Linked DNA regions of Caenorhabditis elegans. The protein of the gene in region 2 purifies or fractionates together with the protein of the main gene of each other region. This does not show direct contact. Each region holds a gene or a part of one and is shown on either strand. Other genes may lie near its edges.

What was found.
Region 1: the proteins of psf-1 (region 2) and tim-1 purify together in Caenorhabditis elegans (affinity purification with mass spectrometry, with the first as the bait; one study listed by BioGRID). This does not show direct contact.
Region 3: the proteins of psf-1 (region 2) and mcm-6 purify together in Caenorhabditis elegans (affinity purification with mass spectrometry, with the first as the bait; one study listed by BioGRID). This does not show direct contact.
Region 4: the proteins of psf-1 (region 2) and ctf-18 purify together in Caenorhabditis elegans (affinity purification with mass spectrometry, with the first as the bait; one study listed by BioGRID). This does not show direct contact.

The regions. Positions count from the first base shown.
Region 1 is NC_003281.10:12,246,898-12,252,002, reverse strand, and holds the start of tim-1 (Protein timeless homolog), read left to right. Parts: upstream 1-1,838; 5' UTR 1,839-1,848; coding exon 1,849-1,930; intron 1,931-2,025; coding exon 2,026-2,179; intron 2,180-2,235; coding exon 2,236-3,901; intron 3,902-5,105. Other genes in the region: pifk-1A (1-phosphatidylinositol 4-kinase), read left to right, coding at 213-306; Y75B8A.23 (Protein kinase domain-containing protein), read right to left, coding at 1,013-1,149, 1,202-1,325. UniProt on the Caenorhabditis elegans protein: Plays an important role in chromosome cohesion during both mitosis and meiosis.
Region 2 is NC_003280.10:9,966,824-9,970,397, forward strand, and holds psf-1 (putative DNA replication complex GINS protein PSF1), read left to right. Parts: upstream 1-1,849; 5' UTR 1,850-1,857; coding exon 1,858-1,956; intron 1,957-2,002; coding exon 2,003-2,067; intron 2,068-2,135; coding exon 2,136-2,211; intron 2,212-2,262; coding exon 2,263-2,352; intron 2,353-2,397; coding exon 2,398-2,607; intron 2,608-2,687; coding exon 2,688-2,753; 3' UTR 2,754-2,807; downstream 2,808-3,574. Other genes in the region: dtmk-1 (Thymidylate kinase), read right to left, coding at 42-161, 216-258; R53.4 (Putative ATP synthase subunit f, mitochondrial), read right to left, coding at 653-754, 801-1,044, 1,109-1,224; R53.5 (Peroxiredoxin-like 2A), read right to left, coding at 2,870-2,991, 3,036-3,255, 3,300-3,431, 3,477-3,574.
Region 3 is NC_003281.10:9,792,465-9,799,298, reverse strand, and holds mcm-6 (DNA replication licensing factor mcm-6), read right to left. Parts: upstream 4,933-6,834; 5' UTR 4,932-4,932; coding exon 4,696-4,931; intron 4,647-4,695; coding exon 4,358-4,646; intron 4,311-4,357; coding exon 4,025-4,310; exon of another isoform or gene 4,004-4,024; coding exon of another isoform or gene 3,788-4,003; intron 3,746-3,787; coding exon of another isoform or gene 3,467-3,745; intron 3,410-3,466; coding exon of another isoform or gene 3,302-3,409; intron 3,257-3,301; coding exon of another isoform or gene 3,084-3,256; intron 3,029-3,083; coding exon of another isoform or gene 2,915-3,028; intron 2,869-2,914; coding exon of another isoform or gene 2,751-2,868; intron 2,476-2,750; exon of another isoform or gene 2,474-2,475; coding exon 1,030-2,473; intron 983-1,029; coding exon 805-982; 3' UTR 656-804; downstream 1-655. Other genes in the region: ZK632.2 (uncharacterized protein), read right to left, coding at 48-188; srxa-10 (Serpentine receptor class XA 10), read left to right, coding at 2,751-2,868, 2,915-3,028, 3,084-3,256, 3,302-3,409, 3,467-3,745, 3,788-4,003; R10E11.9 (uncharacterized protein), read left to right, coding at 5,741-5,798, 6,031-6,103, 6,155-6,244, 6,443-6,713.
Region 4 is NC_003282.8:10,121,889-10,128,284, forward strand, and holds ctf-18 (AAA+ ATPase domain-containing protein), read right to left. Parts: upstream 4,757-6,396; 5' UTR 4,751-4,756; coding exon 4,686-4,750; intron 4,632-4,685; coding exon 4,465-4,631; intron 4,423-4,464; coding exon 4,184-4,422; intron 4,138-4,183; coding exon 3,935-4,137; intron 3,892-3,934; coding exon 3,723-3,891; intron 3,678-3,722; coding exon 3,220-3,677; intron 2,645-3,219; coding exon 2,392-2,644; intron 2,345-2,391; coding exon 2,081-2,344; intron 2,027-2,080; coding exon 1,763-2,026; intron 1,715-1,762; coding exon 1,499-1,714; intron 1,050-1,498; coding exon 795-1,049; 3' UTR 649-794; downstream 1-648. Other genes in the region: irld-21 (Receptor L-domain domain-containing protein), read right to left, coding at 114-399; Ras GTPase-activating protein-binding protein gtbp-1, read right to left, coding at 5,348-5,706, 5,754-5,996, 6,052-6,396.

The DNA.
Region 1 (5,105 bases), on a different chromosome or scaffold from region 2:
CGATTTTAGCGGAAATTTTGACGTTTTCAACCCAAAAAAACCATAAAAATTCGACAAAAATGAAATTTCGAAGCTACAGTACTCTGTTTAAAGGCGCACACCTCTCCGCATTTAACAAAAAAGTCGCGTCGAGACCCAAGGTACTGTAGTTTTGGCCCAAAAAAATGACAAAATTTCAGTAGAAAATTCTTTAAAAAAATGTTTTTTTCCAGATACATGTACTCGGTGATCACCAACTGCTTCCTGAATATTCGCTCGAAAATGTACGATCAACTGCAATATTTCCAGAATGAAATTCCATATTAAAAATTTGCCAAAACCAAAAAATTAATTTATTTATTTCTCCATTTTTTCCCCACCCGCTGCCAGTTTTTTCTTCTTGTGTTGCTATAATTTTATTTATTTATTTCTAATTTATTTGAATCCCCCGCTCCCAATGTATAATAGTGATTTTAGGTTTTCGGTGTATAGTTTTAGAAAAATTCGCTTTAAAAAATCGATATTTGCTCATTTTTCGAATTTTCAGCAAAAAAAATCACCCGGAGATCTTAAATTTCATGAAAATGCTTATTTTGCAAAAAAAAAACCAGTTTTAATTCAAAATGCAATCGCGCTCCATCGCCAAAATTTGCGTCTCGTTAGTTTTTGGCGGTAAAGCCGAAAATTTCAACAATTTTCGCCGATTTAAACCGTTTTTTCGTAATTTTTATCCGTTTTTCATGAATTTTGTATTAAAGGTGATAATTGCATGAAACAATTATTTCCATAATTTCGGCATCGAAATCGTTGAAAAACAACGAAAAATGCTCGATTTTAATGATTTTTAGCTCAATTTAACCTTAAAATTCTGAAAAAAACGACTAAAAATGCTCGAAAACGGGAAAAATCAACGGAAATAAATGAAAATTTTCGAATTTACACGGTTTTCCCGCGCCGACTAGCCAAGCTTTGGCGCTGGAGCGCGATTGCACATTCATTTCAACCAAAAAATTTCGAGAAAAATCCAAATTTATTACTTTCTCTTTACGATATTATAGACAAATTGATTGGATCCTGCAACCATTCGCTTTTCCACATAATATGGATCATTCGAGTATCCAATGTCGTGAGTAGGTGTGCAAAAATCATCATTATCAGCAGTTTCTCCATCTGAAAATCGATAATTTTACCTTTTGCCGCAATACGCCTGCCAGGAGCCTACCAGAAGAACTTGACGAGTCCCAAGTGGCAGAAGTATCGTCGTCTTCGCCGAGCTCCGGGTCCCAGTCATCTAGTTCTTTCACATCAGAGTCATCGTTGATTAGTTTCCCAATTTTCGCACCCATCTTGTGCTCGAAGTTAAGGAATTAAGGAATAACGAGAATTCTGATTTTCTAACTTTCTAAATTCAAATTTAGAACTTCACGTTCCACAAATTAATTGAATATTTTGCTTCAACGGATTCCCCGATGAAGCGATTCCAAAAATTATTTTTTATTCGACACACTCTCTCGAGAGATCGAAACGACAGCTAACCTTGGTTAAACTGGGTTAAAACCAAATTGACACGATTTCGTTGGCGACCACTAATCTGCTGTGGACGGACATTTGCCGGGTTCCGCCGGGTGCTGTGTTTTGTGGGGGGAGACACTCCGCCCATTTGTACGTAGTGTGGTTGCACAGCGCGCGAAAAAACAAATTTTGAAGCGAAAATTAGTTTAAAACGCATTTTTTATAGATTTCCGAGAGATTTAATCGATTTTTTCGACTTTAAACCGAAAAATTGGCTAATTTAATCTTGGAAATGCCGCAAATTTTCTCTATTTTCGAAATATTTCCAGCTAAATTTAAAAATTTCCAGGTTCTTCAATGAATGTGCTCGTCCAGGGAGCAGTCCATGCTCTCGGATACTACGAAGATGGAAAATATAGCCGAGAACCGGATTGTTATGGTGAATAAGCGGAATTTTCGATTTAAAATCGATTAAAATAGCAATTTTTGCCAATTATGCTCATTTTCTGCAATTTTGAATGTTTTTTTTTTCAGAAAGCATCCGAGATTTAATTCGATATCTACGCGAAGACGGTGACGATCACACTGCTCGAATCGAATGCGGGCGGCACAATCTTGTCGAGCAGGATTTGGTTCCGATGGTGAAGTGTGAAGATTTGACGGATGATGAATTCGATATTGCTATTAGGTAAAGCTGGGTCTCGCCGCGATCTCACTATTTTTTTTATTTTTTTTTAATTTCAGATTAATGGTGAACCTGTGCCAACCTGCAATATCAACGATGCGCGGCAAGCCTCCCGCCGATCGAGATCAATGGAAAATGTACTGGGAACTCGAGGAGAACCTCCGTCGCGCCAAAACCGCCTTCTCCGACGCCCACTTCTTCACTGCCATCAAAAAACGAATCGATAATTATTTCATCGATACAGAGTACGAGGATCGCGACGAGAGGCTTCGGCTTGTGGTGGAACGTATCGTTTTGCTGATTAAATACGTGTTTTCCATCAATCCGGATACATCAGAAGGCCGAAGAACTCGCATCGAGGATAGCAGTCATGATCGTGTGATTATTGCGTTTTTAGAGTCGGGAATCGATAAAACTCTGATGCATATCGCGAATCAGCCGAGAGAAAAAGAGTTCCACGTCACGATTCTCGACATTTTCGCGTTGATCCTGAAAGAGCAGACAGCTGAGGATCTGGCCACCAAGTCTGAAGAAGTTTCGACAGCTGAACAGAAGAAGACCGAGGAGGAATTTCGAAAAATCATCGAAAACCACGTTGTCAAAGAGACTCAGAAGAGAAAGTCGTTCTCGAGATTCGGTGGATCCTACACAATCAAAGGTCTTAAGGGAATCTCGGCGAATTCTAGTCAAGTAGTGTTCAAACCGATTCAAAACGTGGAAAAGCACAATTTTCTGGATGATCGGAAGGCGAAAAAGCGGGCTCCGAGGAATAGAAGACCGTTTGAAATCGACACAAATTCGCATTTCGCGTCGTCTGAAGTTCGTGGGATGCTGAGAGATATGGTGATCCGAATCATTGAGACTTGCTTCAACAGGCTTATGAAAAGCTCGAAAACGACGGTCTTCGTGCAAGTTCAAAAGACATCCCAAATCAACTACTTCTTCCTGATCAAGTTCGTCCTCCGATTCGTCAGGCTATCGCGTCAGGATCATCTCCTCGAAAGGATCTCAGAGTGCATCGGAGTTGAAGCATTCCACGAGAATAACGTCCAACTCACGGAATACGTGGAGAATGCGACTACGCTGAAGGGAGTCGAAGCTAAGAGTCATGGGCTGAAGGCTCAGTATGCTCTCGGAGCTTACAATGAGCTTGTGCTCCTTCACCGTTATATCTACGAGCATGCCAAGGAGGAGAATGAACGGAAATTCGCGAAACGAGCGCTGGAGCATATTGTGAACGTTGAGGAGTACAGAGAGCTGCCGATTTTCATCATTAAGAAATTCTCGAGCTCCGTGCTCTCTAACAACTTTCTCCGAGAGCTTGTGCTCACCACACATCACTACATGAAGCTTGTCGAGAGATTTGTGAAGACAGGAGCATTGAAGAAAGTCACGAAGAAGGTGAAGGTGCGGAAGGCTACGAAGAAGAGCAAGATGTCCGAGGAGGATGTCCGCTCGGAGTTTGATGGAATGAGCAAGAAGGATCTCGATCGGCTCTGGGAGGAATCCAAGGGCCTTGTACTTCAAATTCTGAAGAAAGAAGTGCCGGAGATGAGGGGAATGAACCCGATCGACTCGCAGCTTGATGTTCCCGTAGATGCTCAGCAGAAGTTTGCCAAGCTTTCGATTCAAAGATCGTTGAGATCCAGAGGATTTCCAGCAGCGGTTGGGCTGTACCATGCTTCGAGGGCCTTGTGGCCTGAGAGTTTTAAAAGAGGACTAACGGTTCGGACGATTTTGAACTTATAGACCCAAAATGAGCTCAAATGAACGAATTCTTATAATGAAACTGCTCAAAAAAAATTTAAAAATTTTTTTATGGCCGTTTAAATTATGAAAAAAATACACAGATTTTAGCTAAAATCACGAATTTTTTCCATTTTTCCCTGTCAAATCCGTCCGAAGTTGGCTTTTTTGGAATTATCGTCTTTTATTACATATATTGGTAGTTTATCTCGTTTAATTTCGTCGATTAAAGTACATTTAAAGCCGATATGGAACCAAAAATCATCGAAATTGGTTACCTATCGGCTTTAAATGTACTTTAATCGACGAATTTAAATGAGATAAACTACCAATATATGTAATAAAGGACGATAATTCCAAAAAAAGCCAACTTCGGACGGATTTGACAGGGAAAAATGGAAAAAATTCGTGATTTTAGTTAAAATCGGTGTAATTTTTCATAATTTTGAACCGCCATAAATAATTTTTGAAGAAATCCGTTAAAATTGAGCAAATCGCCACTGAAATCGACGAAAGCGGATGAAAGCGGATTAATTTTAAATTCGCGCGTGAATGAATCCTAGGCCACCACACGATTTCTAGGCCATATTCGTTCAACAACACATTGATTTAAATGTTATTTTTCAAACTTTAATTCGTTTTTCTTTCTCAAAAAGTTTGAAAAAACTGGGAAGAAGAAATTGTATAAAATTCTTATATTAAAAATACAATACAGAACAGAAAAAATATTCGAAAAATCCTCATGGCCTAGGATTTCTTTAGTTAAATTTCGAAGATTTTTCGCCGATTTTTCTGGCTTAAAATGTTCAATGTTAACGGATTTTTCCCGTTTTTCTTTTGTTATATTCGTAAGGATGAGCACGAATACTACATTTTAAAACAATTTCCCCATTCAGGATACTCCTTCTTCAAATGAACGAATTTCGTAATGACCCTGCTCAAAAAATTTTCAAAATTTTTTTATGGCGGTTCAAAATTTTGAAAAAAATTACACTGATTTTAGCTAAAATCGCGCGAATTTTTCCCATTTTTCCGTGTCACATCTGTCAGAAGTTGACTTTTTTTGGAATTATCGTCCTTTATTACATACAGTGTCGGCCAAAAGTATATGCGTTTTGTGTTTTTCAGTGATTTTTCAAAATTTTCAAACAAGTTTAACTCTAAAACTAGAAATTTAGGTATA
Region 2 (3,574 bases):
TTTTGAAAATAAAAAAATATTTTTTAATTCTCTAGTTAAACCTGGAAAAGCTTGAAGAACGGCTGATGGGGAAGATGAAGCATCTCCGGATTCTGTGGATTTTTTGTTGATGGACTCAACGAGTCGCTTGGCTTGTGTCGACTTGCCGGACCGATCGAGCCCTGTTAAAATATTAAAATATTGATATTTCTTTAAAATTAAGCTAAATCAAATACCTTCGAATACAATCAGGAGCCCTCGTTTCTGATCAGTAGCCATAGGTGAAGAGATGAGGCTCTGGAAATAAGACAGCATGGAGAAATATAAAATAAAATAGAAACATGAAGACGCGCTTCTATAGAATCGGAACTTTAGATCTACAGATTCAAATCTAAAGATAAAGCCGACAGCGAAAAAATCCAGAAAATCGCATCGGCTATCTAACCTTCTTCTTAATATTTCTATTCAACCGATCCATACACTATTTATTCTCTCATAGAAAAAAGACACAAACGGACAAAATCGATAGGGGACTAAATTAACAGAAGACGTCTCGAGAATGAGATGAATTGGGGGAAAAAAGAATACGAAAAAATCGGATGGCTGTTTCGTCCTCCCCCAGCGACAGAGTTTGTATGTGGAGCTTTGAAGAGTAGACGAAATCGGATGGTGTCTACCAATGGTACATCGTCTTCTGGAAATCGACGTAACGGTGAGACTTGACGAGCCAATTGAGGAACGAGTAGGCGAAGATGAAGCGGAAGATTACCTTGACCTAAAAATAAAAAAAATTAGTATTTTTTTTTTAAATTTAAACGAACAGTGTTATTGTAGACTGGTCCTGAGTAATAGAGGTTGTGGACTCTCCAGATATTGCGCATGAACTCGTTGTAGAAGGCAGATGGGGTCTTCTCACGACGAGCCATCCAGGCTGGAAGATCTCCTAGCTTCACATCCATGAACTTGGTATCAAGCTTTCCGTAGTATCTCCAGTGGCAGTATGGTCCGTGAACGTTCTTGTTCCATCTCTTGTCGAACAATCCAACCTCGGTCTTGTTCAACACGCTAAAAATTATATCGGTTATTTTTGGAAAAGAATTTTATTCGTCGTTTTCAGACAATGACAAACCGGTTGTAGAAGAACACTCCGACACGCTCAACGGCGCGAGAGATCGGGATAAAGATCGCGTCCGGAACCCATGGTCTGAGTTGAGTGTGTGGTGGTGGAGGACGGAACCAGGCCATAACTGAAAATTCGAAGAATTAAAAAAATAAAAATAAACCAGATATTTAATTAAATAGTGAGAATCGAGTAACGATTAAGCCAAATAATCAATAAACAAGAAATTAATTAGAAAAACAACCAAAACAGGCATTTTGTTCAATTTAGCAAATATACACATGAATATCAGGAAGAATATACATTTAAAAAAGAACGTTCCAGCTCCAATAATCCTTAACTATGTGCTAAATATTGTTTTAAATATAAACATGTATTTTTGTAAACATTGATCATTATCGACCATGGGATTACGTTTCAGTAACGCCTAAAACGAATTTAACTCAGAATTTAGTGATATATTTGATTTTAGAAGAAATTAATTGAGTAAATAATGAAAAATCGTCAATATTCCACTTTTAAAAAATGCTTAAGAAAAATGTGTGCAGTTTTCAACGGGCGGCGATACATTTCGGCTAATCGCTGCGAGACCCATGGCCGTGGCCGAGTCTACAACTAGTTCACAAGAGCCGAAATGGTGGGAAAGTCGAGGACTTTAAATTTAATGTTTTTTATTTTCGAATTTAATATTTAAAATCAAGTATTTCCCTTTAAAATTTTATTTTTCAAATCAACTTTTAATTTTTGCAGTTCAAAAAATGAGTTCCGGCGATCAGAATCGAGGAGGCGTCGCCGACAAAGCACTACAACTTGTTTTAGAGATGAAAAGAAATCCAGATGTATTACCGCCTTATAACGTAAAATTATATCCTATTTTCTGCTTTAAATTTGAGTTCTTTTCAGACAGAACTTGTACGCCAATGTTATCAGAAAATCGATGAGTTGTTTCAAAAGAATGCTGCCGTCGTGTAAGTGATACATTTCGGAAGCGTACCGATTCGTTCGTGACTTCTTGATTTAAAATCATATTTTTCAGTGAAAAAATCCGTGCAGGACTCCCTCATGATTCTACGCTTCTTCAACCTCGTTTAGCTGCAATGTGCCATATTCGAGTAAGTCGAGAAGGTCGATTTTTGAAATATTGTAGTGGTTCAATTTTCCAGCGTTGCATGATGGCCTATGTGAACGAGAGGAAAAACAGGATTCGATCATTCAGATGGAAGTATGGAGGTGCTCTTCCCGCGTCTGTTAGGGTAATCGGTGCACATGATTAAAATTTGTCAACCATTATTTTTCAGAACGCCCTCTGCGATGCGGAAATTCAGTTTTTCAATGAGTATTCGAGCACATTGGCAAGATTCCAAAGCAATCTTGGAGAAGGTGGTGTTAATCTGCTGCTTCATTCTGCACCACCGAAGTCACTTTTTGTACAAGTTAGAGCTCTCGAGGATTATGGAGAATTTGAAACGTCAGATGGAACTCAAGTTCAGCTGTCCAAGGATAGTTTGGTAAGTCTTCGAATTTTTCTTTATTTGAAAAAAGAGAAATCCCGTTTTTAATTTTTTAAATAATGTATAACATTTTTCAGCACTCCCTTCCACGCCAAGACTGCGAAATGCTGATACGTCAGGGTGTTCTCGAGCTTGTTCATTGACTTGTTGTCGGTATTTTGTTTTCAACCTGTGATCTGTATAAATAGCTTCTTGTCAGTTTATTTTACAAAAAAAGTAGCCTCGTTTAATTAATTAAGAAAACACATAAGTTAAAAAATTATTTCGACTTCTCCGAGAATTTCTCGACGGCAGCACGAACTTCCTTGATATCGGCAGCATCTCCCCACTCCTTCTCCAAATGAGTGAACACGATGTCGTTGTTAGCAATCAAATAAACACCTGAACAATTATTATGAAAAAATAATTTTAATAATTTTTCGTACCTCCCAAAAGTCTTCCCTCTCCTTCCATGTTTCCCTCGACCTTGGCTTTCTTTGCTTTGTAAACATTCGAGTAAGTTCCGAAACGAAGAAATCCCATCCAAACTGGCAGCCAGCGTTCGTTTGGACCGTAGAAAGTGCGATCAGTGTCCAAATAGACATCACCGCCGGAGAACCAAGACTTGAACTCATTTGCTCCACGAGTCTCGTGCACAACGGCGGCCTGAAAGCAAAGTTTTAATTTTTCTATTTTGAAGGAGCGCTTACCAGTTCGATTCCTTTTTCCTTGAGCAACGGGAGCAGTGTGTGCAATTCAGCAGCTTCACGACGGCACAGCATACATCCCGGACGACGTACAGCCATCACCATGATCGGACCTTTCTTGAACAACGAGTCGGCCTGAAACTTCTCAAATAATTTTAATTTTAGAGTGAAAATGTTTACCGTAAACTGCTCATTTCTCTCCACAACTTCTTTTTCCTTCGGTCCACCACGAATTGGGACAAGTTTTGCGGCCGCCAAATGAGCAAAGGTTGGAGCAA
Region 3 (6,834 bases), on a different chromosome or scaffold from region 2:
AAAATGATTATTTCAATATATATATAATCAATAAATATTTTTCAAACCTCAATTTCATCAATAACTCCTTCAACTGGACCGTCCATCTGTTCAGCGGGAGCTCGAATTTTTTCAGGCGACATTGGAGCCGGAGCATGATGAGATGGAGGTAAACTTGGTGATTTGAAGGCTCCGTCTGATTCAGACATTACGCTGAAATATTTATTATTTGATTTCTGAGCTAAAAATACGGTAGCCGGTCTCCGCACGAAAAAGGTTTGAGGAAAAAATGATGTGCACCATTATAGAATACTGTAATTTTAAATTAAAGGGATTTTCATCGTTTTTTTAAAATAAAAATAAGATTATTCATTAGCAAGCTCAAGAATAACATTAAAAACATGAATTATCGAAAAACGGGAGAAAAAAAACAAAAAAATATGAATCTGTAAATTACAGTACTCTTTAAAGGCGCACATCCGTTTTCATTTAACAAACATTTATCGTTTCGAGACTAGGTACCGTGTTTTTGGCACAGAAATCCCAATATTTTACATCTGGATAACTAAAAGATTCGGTTTGCGAAAGTTGTCCACGAGAAGTACATGGCCGTCAATGAAACTAGGCCGCAGCCCATACATTTTTCACTTTGAACACATAGCAATAGTTTGGAAATATTGATGAAAATTCATTCACAAAAGTTCCGGTGATAGTCATACTCAAGTTAATTGCAAATTAGTGAGTTGATGATGATGATAAAAATAATGATAAACGGTAAAAGAGCCTGGATAAGAGATCAATACACACGGGAAGCAATTATTTCAATTATTCGTCGGCAATAACATAGTTCGGATGAACACAGAGAGTTGGATCTTCTCCTTGCTCAACTTCAAGAAGAACGTGATCCTGGTGAATGAGACGATGAATTACACGCTCGCAAATAGTCTTTTGTACGTTGAAGTCTTCCTCCGTCTCCAAATCTGCTTCGATTGTCGACAAGTACCTAAAAACCAGAAATTTAAATTTAAATATTTGAATATTTAAACAAACCATTCAACAAGTGCACTCTGCTTGACACCATCATACTCGTCTTCTCCTTGATTGTCTTCATCGGATCGCATATGTAAAACGAGAACATCAGACAATTGCTTGTATTCCTTGAATGAGATTTTGAGCTTTGCTATATCAATCTTCGGAGCATTTTCCTTCTCTCCATCATGATCCATACTATCATCTCCTCTTTGATTCTCTTTGTCTGCTTCAACAACCATGATATTGTTGTCAAAGTCGTCATCATCCAAAGCAATGTCTGGTTGCTCAACTCTGACGATAGACTTGTTGAGAAGTTCGGCAGCCTTTTCGACATGTTCCACCAGTACTTCCTTTCCACAGTGAAGACGAGCAAGAGCCTCAGACAGACGAACGAGAGACTCCAATTGACGAACAGTGATTCTCCATGATGACGTGGCTGCATTGTTGCTGTCAGACATACGAAGTTTCTTGTACTCTCGAACAAGAGTTTCAGCAGCTTTATCCGAAATCTTCGGCTTGAAGCAACGAGCAAACGCGATATACTTCTTGATATCATCAATTTTGTAAACACTGTCACGTTCAGTATGCTCACTGATCGCACGATGATTATCAAGGATCCGACGGGCAATAGCGTAATCAGTAACTTCATTGCACTCATCGACCAACACAAAGAAAAGATCGAAACGTGACATAATCGGAGCTGACATCTGGACATTATACTTCAACGGACGACTTCTATCATAACGTCCATTAACTGGATTTGCAGCGGCAAGAATTGATGCACGGGCATTCAATGTTGCTTTGACTCCAGCTTTGGTGATGGAAATGGTTTGTTGTTCCATTGCCTCGTGAATGGCAACCTGATCCTTGAGGTCCATTTTGTCGAACTCATCAATACAACAAACTCCATTGTCGGCAAGCATGAGAGCTCCAGCTTCAATGACAAACTCGAACGATTCCTCGTCTTTTACAACAGCAGCAGTCAGACCAGCAGCTGAAGATGCTTTTCCAGAAGTGTAAATAGCTCTTGGACTGAACTCTTCCACAGCTTTCAGAACTTGCGACTTGGCAGTTGATGGATCTCCAACAAGACAAACGTTGATATCACCTCTCAGTGAAGTTCCTTCGTCCCTGCTCTTCTTCGCGACACCTCCAAGAAGCATCAGAAGAACTCCAAGCTTAACTTCGTGGTTTCCATAAATGTTCGGGAAAAGTGAATCGACAATGTTCTTCTCGATTTTCTTATCGTCACTCATTTTCTTCAGTGTTGCACGATCTTCTGTTGACATTTTCGACCATAAATCAAGATAATCAGTCTCCTCAACAGCTCCCGAAGCATCTCCACCAACAAGACTCTCGGTTTGTTGAATATGACAAGCCAAGAATGCCATTTTATAGGTAAGATCACGGACTCCAAGAGCTTTCAATCCAGTGATTCCTTCGCTTTTATCGGTCGCTCTGCCTGTAAAAAATCAGATTATTGTTGAGTCTCGCTAGTTTTTTTTCTTAAAATATATATTTAAATTTATGAAACCATAGGAATCACTAGTCACTGAAAATCAATTCTACTTCCTCGTTCCACGTGACCATAATTGTTCGAATACTAGATGCTAATAAAATCAAAATCACCACATTATCGAGAAACGAGGAGTCCATATAATCACATCTTCCAAAAGAATACTACCCAACCATTGGTTCCTACATTATTCAACCTGCTGGTGTGTTTCTTTTTTCTACAAATGGATGTGGATGCTGCCGTTGTTAAGCGTATTGCTCTATGGGTTTACGAGACATGTTCGGTGTTCAATTTATTCTACTGTATTACTTTATCACTGGCAATAAAAACTTCTAAAAACAGTTACGAAAAATTCGGGATTTTATTTTTTTAAAAATCTCATTTCAGATGCTCTACCAGCCACATACATCTATAACATGGCAATTTCTAACGCACTTCTAGTCATATTCGGAATAATGGTCTACATACTCCCCTATTACATGTCCGATAAAACATATAAAAGTAATAACTGTCCGGACACATGAGGAAGGATATATTTTCTAATCTATATTTTCAGCATATCGGGATTCAATAGGAGCTATGATTTCGGTGGGTGTAACGTTCAATTATCTTCATCCAATGCTCACACTTATTCTGATGACTATTAATCGAATAGCAGTAGTTGTGAGTATGCAGGCATCTCAGCTTTTCACTTCTAGCAAAATATGGCTCTATACTTCATTTCATATGGTATCTTGAAATGCTAAGATTTCAAATGATACATTTATTCTTCAGACTGCCAATTTCGCATGTCTTATTATTCCCTATCTGAGTGAGTGTCGGATAAATTATGATATACGAAAAGTTGGATTCATATCTGAATGTGCACCAGACAGGCATCAGGTAAAGTAGATCTACGGATGATATCTGTGTTACAAAAATTAATAATTTAATTTGTAGATCACAACGTTCTCCAATTATTACTCTGTATTCTTTCCGTTCGTAGCATTCTTTTTCAATGTGCTAGTTATTATAAACTTCAAACTTCAAAGATCACCAACATATACAAAGATCAAAAATATGTTCCGACGTGGGAATGGAGATCAGTTTACATCAATGCCTTCGGATGTTTTAAAAGCGAAAAAGAAGACTGAACGAATGCTTATGATTCAAGCTTTTATCACTGCTTTCTATCTTTCTGTATATGAGCTAACAAGTCTTGTTCTACGAGTTGTTCCGGTATAAATTCAACGAAATAGCGTTTACTATGCAAGTTTTCAGGAACTCTTTGGAAATCTTTCGCTTGACGGAAAGCTCGCATTCACTTATTTTCGACTAGCTCAGGTGCCATGCCATGTATTTCTAGTATACTTCATTTTTACCCCTGTTACCAGAAAAATCTATATGGATTTTGTTCGAGAAAGAGTTTTCTGTATGAAACCAGCGAAAAAGAAGACAATCAAGGTATCTGCGACAACTACTTCCACTAAGAAATGAGTTTCGAATAAAATTGTTTACCTCTGTTCTGATTTGAAGTCTCAGCACGAAGTCCAGGAGTGCTCAATTGAGCAATATCTGGAATGACGATAAGAGTTCCAACAATGTCACATTTATCTCCTGGTTGGACAGTTTCAACCATTTCTCCTCGAACAATCACATCGACAGTACGTGGAATTGATCCACGAGGCAACTCTGCTTGAGTCTCCTGAATTCTAATCTTCTGGAAGTCGACGAAAGTAGATGAGTTGACATCGAGACTGAATCTGGTACGATTCATGCATTGAGGATTAGCACATTTAGTTGGCTGAAAACATTTGAATTCGTTATAAGCTAATTATTATCTCCGCATACCTGAGTGTATCTGAACTGCTGTTGAACATCACGTGTGGTAACACCGCAATCCTCACACACGAAACAAGCCCGTGAAAGTTCTGGATGCACTGGGTGAGTTCGGACAATCTGACCGGCAATGCGCACGAGGCCTCCGACTTTGTCCGCAGAAAGCTCACGAACTTTCGTTTTCGCATCGAGATTGAACAGCGAAACGTACAATTGCTTCTTGAACATTTGCTGTCTCTCACTTTCATCACAAGCATCTAAAGTGGCCAAGTGTAGAGCTTCGCACATGAATGGATAGACCCTGAAGTATATTTATAAGTATTCGAAAATACTAATCGAATTTAATTTACCTGTAGTATTGCAGCTCGATAGTTGTTGCGAGATTGTTACTGAACTTGTAGAGATGTTGCATGTTAATGAAAATGGTATTCTTTTCTGGTTGCACGAGCTCCTTCATCGCAGATTTGTAGATAAACTCATTTTTCTGGTCTTTGAAGCTCTTCAAAAACTTGGAAAACTCGTTCTGCACACGAGTTCCGTCGGTGTCCTCCACTTGCTGGGCTTGACCGCCGATAATGTTGTCCATGCTGAAAGAATTGATTTAAAAAGAATTAAGGCAACTTTCTTAATCGAAAAAGTAAGAAAGAGAACTAGAAATTCAGGAAGTCGGTGCAATCTGAAGAGGAAAACAATGAGAATGCGGGAAAACGACGAGAAATAAGACACCTAAAATTCAAAACTCAATTTTGGCGGCAACCTGCGTACCGAAACACTGGAGTGTTGTAGACGAAACAGTGTGCGCGGTAAAGAGACGCAGACAAATTAGGCGCGAAAACTGTGCGGCTGTGAATTTGAATTTCGACAGAAATTCATTGTCATTCAGAAACTTGCTTTTTCAGATGTAAAAGATATATTTTATGAATAAAATAAAAAACTTATTGGGAAAAATCAAAAACAGAAAAAGGCGCTTTAAAAAATAACAATTCTTGCCATGTCGTCGCAAGACCATTTCCCAAAAACGTGCCTCCCTTGAAACTCACACGGTACGGTACTTTGATAAAAATCGGGCCTACGATTTCTAATTTAATAGCCTGTAATGTAGACTTCAAGAATCAGTAGTTATTGAGAGTCACGAAAAATTTGAAACATGCAAAATTCTCATTCAAACTTGAATTAATTTCAAGGGGAGATAGGTTACCTTGAGACCATTCGGGTTACTGTACTTCTTAGAATTTCAGAAATTCGGGCGATGTTTAGAATGAATAAATATGAGTCAGACGTGCGCAACAGGCCGAGGAAACTTATGCGAGAATATGTGTATGTTTGCTTTCTGGACACTACAACTTCCAAGCTTTGTCGACAGAAAAGTTGTGTTATACTGCTTTATCGATAAGTATGCACTTTCTCTTTAAATTATTCGTTTTGATTTTAAATCTAACTCTGATCTCAAATGGTGAGTTTCGACAATTTTAAAAGTTCAAAGTTCAAAAGGCGCTATAGTATGATGAAATTCACCTATAAACATTTTTTAGAGATTTCCATTTAATTTTGAAAGGCGCACGCTGGATTTCTGAGTGGGTCTCGACACGATCTCGGTGCTACAAGCCATATTTCTCACCTAGCTTCAAGTTTATTGGAAAATATGATGAATTTTATTAAAATACCTTGTCAAAGAATTGTTTCAGTTAAATCTCAATCATACAATGACGTCATTTGCCGCCGACCGTGGTATTTTAACTCACCACGACCTGCTCCAATGTAAGTTGGAGAATATTATAATTGGCAAATAATTCCGTTTTTCTCGTTTAGGAGGTGTCCAACTGCTTCTTTCTTCACATATTATGAATGTTGTGGAGAGTTCTTGGAAAACTGTTGTTGGAGATTTAGACAAGAACCCATGTAAGCTTTTTGTAAAGTAGCTCTAACTAGATCCACATCTAAGTCATATAAATCCACAGAAGAAATTTAAGTTTTCATTTGAGCATCTGTAGTAGAATGAGACATCTCTCAGAACATCCCTATAAGGGGATGAAATTTTGGATTTCTTAATTTGGAACATCTTAAACAGGAACATCTTGAAAACTAAACTTTTTTCAGAATAATCGGAGTAATTCTTCTTGTTCTTCTCTTACTTGTATGTTGCTGTTGTTGTGTTTCTTGGATATTCGTTGGAAGAAAAAAGAAATCTTCAAATATTGAACCAGAAAAGAAGCCAACAAAGAAAGACTCACAAATTCAAACAATTAGCAGTTCAACAATAGATTCTGGAACTCAATGGGAACTCCGAAGAAGCTACGAGGAAACTGATAAAAGAAGGTCTTATGCAGCTGCTAGAGATCAAGAACTGGATTATCAATATTTTCAATAATTATATATTCTGCTCAATTGGATTTTTTTTTGAAAAATTAAAACGTTCCGATTTTCATTTTCCTTGAAAGTGCCATATTTCCTCAAGGATTTTACAAATTTCAAATTCCATTTGTAGACTT
Region 4 (6,396 bases), on a different chromosome or scaffold from region 2:
GACCGAACTGTAGGGGCGGGGCGATTTCAATTATCTATGGAGCGCATTTCCACGACGATTTCAGAAGAAGATTATGTCTTCATCCCCATAATAGTGTTCTCTGAATATATTACCCAATGGATCTCCAGTTATATTCTGAATATTTTTCATGAAAGGCGCTGAAGTTAATTGAGTATTCCATATTTGTAGAACTCCTCGAATTTGAAGAACATTTTTGAATAAAGTGATCAATTGTTCACTTTTCATTTCAGAATTTTGATCGATACGAAATCTTCCAATAATTTGAGAGCATTCAGTTGGAAATAAGCTCTCTTTTGTGATATAATGAACATTAAATGAACAATTGTCTGAATCAACTTCCGATAAATAAAAGAGCCACATAAATATATGAAAAAACATTCTCAAAATATTTTTGTTTGAGAATAAAGTTTGTGGAAGTAGGAATCGGTGAAGATATTTAATTGCATATTTCAATTGAGTTGCCATGAAAACAAGTGACATTTTCGATGAAGCTGAAATGCTATTATAGCATTCTTAATTTTGAAATGTGAATTCTATGAACTATTAAGAGATCATGTTTTTGTTCATATCAATTTCGAACCCCGCATTATTTTCTGCAGAAAATTAACAATGTTTTAGTCTGAACTTAAAAGGAATGTATTGTTCATTGGGGTGATAAAATCGGAAAATGAGCAAAAGATCATAGGAACGTGTATACAGCGCTGAAACAACTGAAAAAAGTAGTATACAGCAAAAATAGTGTCATTTTACAAACAAATACTTTGAAATTAAGGTTAAGAATCACCAAAAAGTATAGAGTTGAGTTGTTGCATGGTGACTTTCTTTTTGACAGCACTACTGTCTCCATCCTGATGATTAAATACTATATCTGTTAGTCTTCCATTGTGTAATCTTTTCATTGCTCCGGCAGATAGTCTCTTCTTCTTTTTGCTTTCTGATTCAACGATTGCTTTGATTTTATCGGCATTCGTAGAAATTCGTTCAGTATTCGAGGTACTCTCTGTCAGACGAACACGCATAAGAGTGATCTGAAAATTTTTAAGAATTAAATTAAATTCTGAAAATAAAATTTGCCATGGCCTGGGCAGAACACGGAGCTTTTTTTTTGCTCAAATAGACTGAGACTTCCCAAACAATTTTATGGTGTTTCAGAATTTCGAATTTCGAATTTGTTAAAATCTGAGATTTTCCCAAGCTTGTCGTAGCAGCTGAAATACAGTTTTTATTAAAGGGTGAAAATTTGATTTAAAAACTGTATTCCAGTTGTTGCGACAATTTTCGAAAATGCAGAACGCCACAAAAATGTTGAAATTTTTTTTGAGAAATCTCATTTTCAAAATCGAGTGTCTCGGGCCGGTTTTAATCTATTTGATGAGAAAACCTACAAACTCTACTCCTTATTTTAAGAAAGCACAAAGTGTGAATTCAAAACTTTCAGGCAATGAAAGAAAATTAATTTAAAACAATAAATACAAACCTTATGAGCAATCATTTGTCTTGTCGCATTGGCAAGATACGGCCGCTTTGGTCCATCCAGTGGAAACATTGTCAAAATATCAATTGAAGGAGTAAATAACCAATTAACTTGATCTTTTACCATTGTGGCAGTGTATGTCAAACCATAATCACACATAATCGAGACAGTTTGATTGAAAGTCGCAAGTTCCCGTTGATTATACAATGACTCATTCATCTGAAAATTTAAAAATTAAAAAAAAAGAGAACAACCAGCGATTGTTACCGGTTTGATAGGTGGCTGAACAATATTGACAATGAATGGCAAAATATCCAGCAAAAGCTCTTTTTTTGGTGCACCTCTAGTCGATTGTCCACATGATCGAACTGCGCTGATTGTTTCTTCCGATTCCTTCGTTTTTTGGAAAATATTTTGTTCCAACTGTGGATAGGCGATCGGAACACGAGCATGAGTCGCAATGTTGAGATGGAGGGAAACGAAGAATGAAAAAACATACTTTAGAACCGACCAGTTTTGAAGACTGTGTACCTGAAAACAAGAATTTATAATAGTTGTTTAATACTAATAGTAATTAAAACTCACGATTTTCTGAATATCATCATAGAACAAAAACCATGTAGACGCTTTGCGTATTACTCCAATTGGAAGAGTTACAAGATAATTTGCATGTAAACCAGACACAAATCGTTCTTCTCCTCCATGGTCTGCCGATATTCGTTCGATATCAAATATTCTTTCTCGTACAGATTTGATTCCTCCCTTTGCGTCTGTATGTTTAGATAACTCAAGAATTGACGACCAATGTTCGAAAATAGAAGCAGATCCGCCTTTCTCTTTCTCAATAACCTAAAAAACAGATTTCTATTAATATCAAAAAATATACAGCGTCATACCTCATGGATCAACTTCATTCCAATTGCTCGATTCGATTTTCGTGCTGCCACCGCTACCCATTGAAGAGTATTAATTGAATGTCTCATATCATTTGCACACAATTCGCATAACTTTCTCAAAGTACTCAAATCACATCGAAGACGTTCTCGGTCACAAATTTCTTCCAGTCGTTTTGCTAAAACATCTTGTTTTGTTGCGACTAGTTGCACACACCAGGCGACTCCTCGTAAATCACGCAATGCTGGCGTATACCTTTAAAAACAAATAATTAGAAAATCAAACACATCTTACGAATACATTGAGTTATCCCGATAAAGGGGGTTTGTGTTCCGATTTTTACCAAAATCTGAAACCAAGAATTTTAGTTTTTGATTTCTTTCGATTTTTCGAAAAATATCTTGAAAGTTTGATCATTTTTATTCTATTTTATTTTTATTCATGTTTTCTTGTGTTTTTATCAACAAAAACAGAATTTGATTTCAAAAAAAAAAAATAATTTTATGGTTCACTGATTTTTTTTCTTCGAAAAATTGTCGTTTTTCGATTTTTAGATTTTCAGTGAAAAAAATCGTCAAAATTTTCGCTGACATCTTTGTTCCCGATTAGGACTGTCGTTTTTAGTTGGTGTTTCTTGCAAAAATGGATTTTTGGACTAAAAAACAAAAGATTATCTTTCAAAAATGTAGGTATGATGGAAAAATCAAAAGTGTTTTTTTTTTCGGTTTTTTGGAGAAAATTGGTTTTTGGTTGAAAATGTTTTTGCAACTGTTCCCGATATCCTATTATATATTTTCTTTCTGTGTCACTGAAGCCATAAAATAACTTACAAATTATTGCAAATTCCAATAATGGGTCGCCGAATGGCTTTTTTGCCTGTTGCTTGAATACACCGAACCAAATGACGAATAGTATCAATTGGTGTTCCATCAATTTCATCAAGAATCAGGCATGCTGGCCGTTGATCTGCATCAAGTGTTCGAGATGTTTTTACAGCTCCTTCTAGTACTTTATTTAAATCTGCGACTGTTCGAGCATCACTTGCATTTACATCAATTGTTGAATAGCCTGCTTGACGAGCGACAATTCGTGCTAGTGTACTTTTACCGAGACCAGCCGGGCCAGAAAGAAGCAACATTTTCGATGATGGACGCCGAATTTTGCCATTATCCATGTGTAGTACTTCTCGTTCTTTTTCACCGAGGCTTGCTAGTAAATCGTCGACTTTTTGATGGAACACACACTCGTCCCACATTTTCAGCCATGTAAGAATATTTCGATTGACAGTCTGCAATATCGTGACTTCTTTTTTTAAAATAATGTAATTCCTTACACTGTCCGAGAGCAAATCTGAGAAATTTTTGGCTTCGTACTTGTTCACCCATAATGATGATTCTGGATGAGATTTATTATTTTCATATTCAGACGGTGTTTCAGTTTCTTTAAGCATGCGTGAAAACTCGGCTTCCTGTTCTTTAACGCGAGATTCTTCTTTCAACTTGCTGAAAACTATAAAAGTATTCAATTTTCTAGTGAAACTATTACCTAAGACGTTCGGATTCCTGACAAATCGACTGAAAAGCTCGAAAACCGACCCTCGAACGGGTTGCTTGTTGGGTAATCGATTCTACTAACGGAACAGAAAGACGATCATCACGGAAAGTTCGAATATAAAATCGTTGCCCGTTGACGACATCACTGATACCAATCCAAGGTGAACCATCAGTTACCGGATTTCGCATGATTTCCTGAATTCAATGATAAAAATATAATCTTTCAAGGAAAAGTAATAACCTGTCGTCTTCTATATCTCCGTTCCATTTCTAGCTCACAAAGTGAAGAAATTGTCTGCTCTCCGCTTTGAAAATCGTCAAAAGCATTAGAATGATGATTTTCATTCATTTTTCTTTCAGCTTGAGCAGCTGCTTCGTTGATTTTCTGTTCCAAGCTTTCGAGGGCTCTTCTCTTAACAGCATTTACTTGTGACTTTTGTAATACTTCACTGGAAACTGTTTCCATTCTCATATGCCAATCTAAATATATAATTTAATTGGAAAACCTTCTTTTTGACTGACCCATTGGATGTGAACGTCTTCCATATTGATCAAATACGTCTTCTACTTCATTCAAGCGTCTTTTTCTTTTACCATATCCAACTTCTTCGAGAGCATTCCTAACTTCATTGATTCTTTGATTTTCAGAGTCTCCATTCGGAACTACAGCTAGCTGATCCTCATCATCTCTTAAAATTCAGCGAATGTAAAACTACTTCTGCTTCTCAACATAAAGATCTTACGGATATTCAAGTTGCCCATCATCGTCGGCAAACCCAGAATGCAGTACATTGTAGTCATCATCCATGTCTTGCTGTATCCATTAGAAATGTTAGAAACACAATCTCACAACAATAAGTACAATACACTGTTACTTGACACACTACATATAAAAAAAACAAATTGAGAAACTTGAATAATTTAGATACAAAACTTTATTTTAATTCCAACGTGCCAAAATGGGGGTAAGAACTTGAGTACAAAGAGTACTCCCGAACACCAATGAAGGAAACAATAACGGGGGCTTGTAAAAGGAGAAGGAAAGTGGTAATATATTAAAACAACATTCAAATACAACTTGGATATTCGGTGGTGGGATGATGTCTGATTGCAACTTGTACTCGAAAAGAGTAAACTCAGATGGGATCACGGTCGTCAATCACCGAAAACCGGGGAGATAGGATGTGAAAATGGGATGCGGGCTGATTGGATTGGATTGTTGAGAGATCTACTAAAACGCTACACGCCATAAAATTCAGATACCAGAATCTTCTTACTTAAATCATCATTATTAGAACGGTGAGGAAGGAAAGGAGAAACAATAAATAGGAAAATGAGAAGGATAGGTACAGAATCTAATGGATGTGCAATTCTTACAAGAAGGAAAAAGGAGAACGGAAAGCTTCTAATTTTGTCCCGCATTTTGGAAACCGCTGCGCATACCACCTCGTGGAGCACCACCCGAACCGCCACGGCGGAAGAATTGTCCACCGCGTGGTTGGAAACCTCCACGTCCTCCTCGGAATCCGCCGCCTTGTGGTTGATCACGTTGCTCACTAATTTGAGCATGTCCGTCAAATCCGAATGCATCCAGTTTGAGTGGAAGCTTCCACACGCCTTGCTCATCCTTTGTAGCCGCTTCGAAAATGGCTTTTACTCCGGCCTTGTTACGCATGGTAATAAATGCAAAGGCATGTTTCGATGTGTCGTTCGGACTGTCAAGAACCTTGCGCGGCATGCGAACCTCCTCGATTTCTCCATATTCTTAAAATGAAAATTTAGTGAACTATTGGGACTATTAATTTGCTTACTGTAGAACACCTGCTTGATTTCCGATTCAGCCTGAGCTGTGTTGCTGGGGACAATCTCTCGAGTGATTCCTCCCAAATAGATCTTACGCTCATTTAGGTTGGCATCTGAACTTTCCTGAGCTTGGCGCAATTCATTAGCTGGGTGCGACTGTCTCTGTTGCTGATAAAGAGGAGCATGCGATCCTTGTTGTTGCTGATGCATGGAAGGCTGCATGTGGTGCATTTGTGTTTGCTGATGGATTTCTGAAAAATAAATAATCTGAGACTAGCCCGATCATCTTTCGTTTTTTCAACTCACGCTGTCCTTGTCCATAACTTTGTTGTTGTGGGGGCTGAGACTTTCCACCTCCACCCACAAGATTAGCCCACGTTTTCTGAACCTTTGGCTGTTCTTGAACAGGCTCAGGAACTGGGGCTCTCTGCTGTGGGGGCTGTTGGGCAAGCTGTGGTTTCTGCGGTGTTTTCGCTACCTCCTTTTCCACAGATTTCGGAGTGTCTTGCTTCACTATACGATCTTCAGCTTTCTTTGGCGTTTGCTGCTTTGGAGGAGCCGGCTTTGATTGTTCCTTAGGTTGCTCGGTTTTGGAAGATTTGGAATCCTTTCCATTTGCTCCACTGGCGTGTCCGTTATGACCAGTCGACG